Linked DNA regions of Danio rerio. The protein of the gene in region 2 interacts with the protein of the main gene of each other region in a pairwise test. Links are inferred from orthologs where the notes say so. Each region holds a gene or a part of one and is shown on either strand. Other genes may lie near its edges. The genes, in order: zbtb33 and ctnnd1.

Evidence for each region.
Region 1: the proteins of ctnnd1 (region 2) and zbtb33 interact in binary tests that used the Homo sapiens proteins (3 or more experiments, as listed by UniProt). The link is inferred for Danio rerio from reciprocal best matches to the Homo sapiens genes CTNND1 and ZBTB33.

The regions. Positions count from the first base shown.
Region 1 is NC_133189.1:38,008,385-38,011,456, reverse strand, and holds part of zbtb33 (transcriptional regulator Kaiso), read right to left. Parts: intron 2,831-3,072; 5' UTR 2,829-2,830; coding exon 954-2,828; 3' UTR 927-953; exon of another isoform or gene 505-926; intron 1-504. UniProt on the Homo sapiens protein: Transcriptional regulator with bimodal DNA-binding specificity.
Region 2 is NC_133176.1:47,477,141-47,480,973, reverse strand, and holds part of ctnnd1 (catenin delta-1), read right to left. Parts: intron 3,591-3,833; coding exon 3,440-3,590; intron 1,284-3,439; coding exon 1,088-1,283; intron 1-1,087. UniProt on the Homo sapiens protein: Key regulator of cell-cell adhesion that associates with and regulates the cell adhesion properties of both C-, E- and N-cadherins, being critical for their surface stability.

The DNA.
Region 1 (3,072 bases), on a different chromosome or scaffold from region 2:
GTTCCTCATACAAAAGGGTTTTTGAGTCTCCATGTTTGATTTTCTTTTTTTATATACACGATTTTGCCTTTGAACTGTTGTATAAACGCAATATCACACCCATAGCGGTGCCAACACATGCCTCTCACCAGCACCGATATATACAGCCATAAAGCACTGCTACTCATGTGATATTGCTCATATATATCACATTCTATGTTTATATATTATCTCAGAAATACACACTCACAATTGTGAGAAATAAAAGTCCTACTTTTGAGAAAGAGTTCTGTTTATATCAGAAGTCAAGATAGAACTTTTTATCATGCAATTCATACTTTTTTTCATCAGAACTGTCAGTCTTTAACAAAGTTTATGTTCATATCACAATTTCAAGATATAATTTTACAGTTCAGAAAATATGTACAAATTGCTTGCATTTCTAACCCAGTTCTGAGGAAAAAAGGCCAAATGTTGAGAAGTCTTTAATTCAGAAAATTGCAAGAAATTTTCTTTTTTTTATTACTCATATTTTTATAATTGTGACTTTTTCTGATCAGAATTGTGAGATTGTATTAAAATAATGAGATATAGACTTGCAATTGCAATAAATAACAAAATTATTGTCTAAAAACTATATAAAATTATTATAACAAAAAAGTCATAAGCCTTGTCCCAATTTGGAATAAAAAAGTCAGAATTGTGAGATACAAATTATTTCCTGCAATTCTGAGTTATTTTCTTGCTATTCTTCTCCCTCAGAAATTCAGACTTTTAAGGTAAAAAAAATTCTATATAATCAAATACAAACTCGAAATTGTACAAGAAAATTTTCAGAAAGAGTCAGTCACTTCATCACTAGTTTATCCAGCTACAGAAACAGGCCTCCACAGAAGAGCAACAACAACCTGTCTTTCAAATAAAACACAAAGAAATGAAGAAGGCACCTGAGCCAGATCGCTGAGCAAGTGTGCTCAGTATGTCTCTGGTATAACAAACTCAAATTCATTCCTGGCCGGGGCATTTATTTGGTCGACAGGCTGTGGAGGTGGAGCAGGGCGAGCATTTTGTCCTTCCGATTCTACAAAGATGTCATCCCAGTTCAGTGCTTTGCTTTGGTTAGATGGAAGTGGCTGGTTGGTACAGTGCTCCTTTTCCGAGTTTACGTATTGGATTGTCCCGTCTTCACCAATCACCGGACTTCCCCCTGACTCGTCAGAAACAAACGAATATGGTTTGAACTGCACCGTTTTACAAGGCAGCAGCCGATACAAGTTGTTGGCCGAGTCGTCTTTCTCTTTCCTTCCAGAAGGGTCTTGGTTGTGCGCTTGCTTGCAGTGGGTGGACAAAATCTGATAATTGAGAAACATCTCGTTGCACAGTAAACACTGGTACCGCCGTTCCCCCGTGTGACTGATTTCGTGTTTGGTTCTGTACTCGGCCAGGGCGAATACCTTGTTGCAGTAATGGCACGGATACTTTCGCTCCCAAGAATGAGTGTTAAAGTGCCGTCTAAGGCTCGTCAGGCAAACGTACGGGCGTTTACAAACAATGCACACGAAAAATGTCTTTCCGTCCATGATAATTTCATAGTGATCCTCCTGATCTGGCTTGAATTTCTTCTTTGATTTTGGTGAGAGACTGGCTGTGTTGGGAGAGTCGGGTTGTATTTGGGACTTGCAACCTGGAGCTGCTCCCTCCCCGGGATCGTCTTTGACAGGAACGATGTCGTAGGTGTTTTCACCTATGTTGGCATACACTTTACAACCCGGCGATAGAGAATCAATTTCCGAGGCTTTGTCTAATGTTATTGTCTTCTTCACCGAAAGTGCTGGGATTACGTTGGTTGGTCCGTTACTGCTACTACATGATGACCTTACATCCGACAGTGTGATCTTCCCAGGATGATCAGGGGAGTGCTCTAGCAGGACCTTTTTCTTTTGGACACCGAGGACTTCGATGTTGTCTGAAGGCAGCGAGACGTTTTGAGGATCTGAAGGGACGCTGTCTGGACAGGCTGGGGGTTTGGGATTGCTATTTGAGCCTGTTCCTACTGGTGAAGTGAGAATACTGCTACTGTTTTCAGTACTTGAAAGGATCACAACGTCTGGATCAAGGTTATTTTGGAGTGATGCGTTTCTTTCTGACGATTTCTTTTCTTGGGGTATTGAGCTTTTAGAGGCGACTCCTTCCTCATTTGTGACTTTCTGTTTTTTAGTTTCTGGTGTTCCTTCGATATTTTTATGAACATCTGATATTTTAGTCTTTTGAGCTTGCGGGGCTTCAGTTTTTGACACAAACAGGACATCATCGCTGTCTGAGTCCTCTTTTTCTGTATTTGCACCAGTCATGTTGAACTCCTCGGCAGACAGTGAGAAGGTCTCAGTAATGATGGGCATATTCACTCCTCCATCCTCAGGTTTCTCTGGAGAGCTGACAATGTTGTTGTCGCCGTCTTTGGACAGGCCGGGTAATCCCTTGACTTGTGCTAGCGGGATCGCTAAATTAGCTATGAACGTCACACCCAGAATTTGACCGGCGTTAATTAGGTCTTCAAGTCTGTCAGATCGAACTCTGAACATTTGAGAAGTGTAAATGTAATTAAGGACCATGTCGAATATGTCTGCCTTTATGAAGTTCAGCTCTACAACTTTTCCAGCGACGGAAAACAGTTGTCGGAAGTAGGTGCTTGAGGCAGACAGGACACATTTGTGTGCCCTGAACTTGCGGTCTTGCACGACTATGGTGACATCACAGAATAAACCGTTGTGGCGCTCATCGTTGATGTTCTTCAACAGTGATCCTGGATACTGAGTGTCCACTACTGATATCAGCTTCAGTTTCGACATGCCTGTGGGGGGAAGAGTAAGTATAATAAAGTAATATGTACTTTCATTTATTTAACTTAGACGTGCAGATATTCGAGACAACAACAATACACCCATGGGAATAATATTGCAAAATACTATTGCTCATATTACAGTGCTTCCCACTAGGGCAGTGCGCTTTGGGGAAAATATTTCATTGCAATTTTTTTGACCAATATTGCAATTTCGATTTGATTTGCGATTTAATTTTGTAGTCAAGCTTCAG
Region 2 (3,833 bases):
CTCCGCAGTCTTCATAAACAAGATAATTAAATAACTTAAACTCAAAATAATCTTCCAGCACCGTCACTGACAGAGAGAGCAAGTGCGCATGTTGCCGTGTCAGAATCCTTGCTTGTACAATACGCTTTAGAACGCTTAGTTTAAGCAAATTTAATGAACGTGATCGTGCGTGTTGATCTGAAGAGTCACTCTCACTCACCAAATGCGATGTACTGTCTGCGTCCGTTCTCTAAGCAACAAGAAGCGCCTAAAATCGGCCGTCCGTATTCCTCTGAGTTGTTTAGAATTAAATGTTTAGAGATGGTGTGACAACGCGTACCTATGTGTGCCTTTGATGCACCCCTTTGATACTTCTAACGTCCTTGTCGCAGCACCAGTGGCACCGAAATTAGACACCGAAATTCATATGCTGATTTGATCCAACACATACCGGTTACAAAGGTAACGGTACTATAATGGCATCAGGTTTCGGTACCCAACCCTACCATTAACCATTGAAATAAACCTGTAACCATTGACTTCAATAGAAGAAAAAACTTATTCTAAGGAAGTCAATGGTCACAGGTTTTTAGCATTCTTCAAAACATATTCTTTTGTGTTAAACAGAAGAAACTTAAAGGTTTGAAACATGAGTAAATTACATTTTTGGGGGGTAGACCATCCCATTAAGAGGTGTGCAATATTGAAAAAAACATGCCTATTTTCGAGGGTTAAGAGTTAGACAATATTTCTATAAAGAATAAGTTTGTTATTGTGCGAACATTTTTGTTGGTTTAGGTCAGTCGCAGATAAAATTACACTAAAACCTTAACAGTGTACAATGTAAAAGAAACTCCTTGACAGCTCAAAATTGACCCTATTCCCTTCAATAGACCACCATTTAAAGGGAAGGCACATATTTACCTCAGAAATTGATAAAAATTTTTAATTTTCCAAATTTTCCATTTACGCTCAGCACTAAATGCAGCTTTGCAAATAATTACTGTATCATAAATTAGATCATACAACTAGAATAAATCAGTTGTCTTTACTTTCCTTTCATTTTATTTCCTCTTTAAATGTGATGAAACGGTTACTAAAATCGCACCTGTCTTTGTTGATAAGCACCAGCCTCTCGATGCCCTGGGCGCTGCGCAGTGTTTTGGCAGCATCCACACTGGAGCCGACCACTTCTGCCATGGTGCTGAGAACAGACACCACCGTCTCCTCCGAGAGTGCGCGCGCAGGTTGACTCTGACCTCCGCCTGGCAGATTCGCCACCAAGTTAGGCACCGCATGCTTCCCTGCACAGAAAAAAAGGAAGACAATAAAATTGTCAAAAATGTGTACTGTCCCTCGAGTACATTTTAGATGCATCAGTACTTTTACTGAACTATTTTCCGTCAACCTGAAGTCAATACTTTATTATTTACTTATTTTTTAATAGAATAATCAATTCTGTGAATCACATTTATCAGGGTATAAGCAGGAATCCAAAGCAGAAATTTCAATACCTTAAGACTTTTTAAAGACCTTCTCAGAATATTTTAAGACCACGTCACCACTAAGTTCTAATCAGTATAAAACCTTTAACCTAATAAACAGTAGTTAATAAACAGAACTTAAACAAGCTCGGAAGAAACAAACCTTGAAAAAATAAATTACCTGGTTGTTTTCAGCAACAGGTTTCAGCCACGGTTTAAACTCATCTTTCTCTAACCAGGAGTATGCGAACATGCATAGTCACATTTTGCCGTCTGTTTTGCTCTATGGCAAGGCTATTTAATTGGTTTGTCATGGGGGCCAGTTCATGAAAAGCATCCCAAATGATGGACCATAGAGATATGACTTGCAATATAAGTGATGACACAACAGCATACAAGAGCCCATATGGAGAGTTTTTGCTCCTTAAGACACCCACGTTGTATTTTTCAAACTTTAAATTAATATATTGTATTTTAAACTACATAACATCATTGCATTGTACAATGTGGCATTTGTTTTTACAACCAATGAAATGCTGTATTTTAAAAGCCCAACAAAAGCAGTGCATTGCTTAAGTAGGCTTCTTCTATGTTCAGACACATTCATATTTTATGTTTTGAACTGCATAACAATTCGGGATGCAACAATTATAGATTTTGGTTGTACGATTATAGTCTGAAGAATAATGATGGTGTTATCACGTCTAATGTAAATTTAAGCTTTATATTAAGTAAGTATTTAAATGAACGGTTGTAATCATCTGCGTTTATACATACATGACCATTTTAATAATTTGTAATAATTCTAACCTATCTTTCGTTTACATTCCACTGAAAGCCACGCACAACTCTCACCGCTACGGCGTGAGATGTTTTCTAGTCGCGCGTCTGGAAGGTGCAAATGCATCACTCCGCTTGCGCACGCATGTTGGCATATATTCTTCCATTGGAAATAACAAACTTGCAAGCGGAAAAGATGCAATATGTGAATGACCCGCTGCTATAGTTAATCCAGTGTTTGTGCGTATTAGCCTTGGTGTAGCTCGGAATTTTAAACTAGCAAAATGTGTCATAACTTTGTTTAGTTGCTGCAGTTTCGTTGAGAAGCCTTTAAGCTTAAGTATTCAATTGGCTGCTCACTTAACGTCAGGTAACAGCCTTTAACTGCAGCTTGTGCTGTGTTGAACAGACGCAAGTCACTTCATAATTATATCGGCTGTTTTTCGACTGAACTAAATTTATTTCGATGTCTTCGTCACATTATTTGGAGCGCCAAAACATTTGAATAGCCCTGCTCTATGATTTTGTTAGATGTGGAGAGCGCCACATCACCTTCCCGCGTTTGTCGCAAATTACTTGACATCAACCGGACAAAGGAGCTTGGATGCACCTAGCCCTAACCAATTGAGGACAATAAATATTTTAGATTTTTTGGAGTCAAACACTTTGGACAACGCATAAACAAAACATTAAAACCCTAGTAAAAACAAGATTAAGACTTTTATACATTTTAAGGGCCTTAATTTTCTCAATCGATTTATCAACTTTTAATACCATAAGACACCCTGTTTATAAATTCAGCAAACATCTAGTGTGGAAGCCTTTAAAATGTCAAAGATGACACCAAATCATTACATGCAATGACTGAGAGAGTGTTTGGATAATGAAAACGAAGATATCGACTGTATGAAGACTCAAATCAACAAATGGCCTTAATCACTAAATTCAGGAAAGAATGTTACGCTTCACACACATGCACAAATCGCATCTAAACGCATCACCCTTTCATATCATTACACGTAACCACTCTTGAGTACTACGAAAAAGACTACTTTTCACTCGTACTTTAAGTAATATTTACAACATATACTTTTACTCTACATTTTTGGACAAGTAATGGTACCAGTGTATGATTTTTTAGTTCTCTTTCTACCCCTGCATATGACAAATCTGATTGGTTGATTTCTCTCACACACCTAGCAGCTCACGGTTGCGAGCATCAATGGCCAGGTTCCTCAGCGCTCCAGACATGGCTCGGACCACGCGGTCATTCCCATGAGACAGCAGCTCCGTCATCATTGGCAGGCCATGCTCCTGTCTCATCGTTGCTCTGATGTAGCGCCCATACTGAAAAGAAAATGGACGAGGTGCATGAAGGAAAAGTCATACAGTTGCAGTCAGAGTTATTAGCCTCCCTGTATATTATTTTCCCCAATTTCTGTTTAACAAAGTTTTAAACATTTCTAAACAGTTTTAATAACTTATTTCTAATAAGGGATTTTTAAAAATACAATGACAGCACATAATATTTGACTAGATATTTTTCAAGATATTAGTATTCAAAGTGACATTTAAAGGCTTAAATAGGTT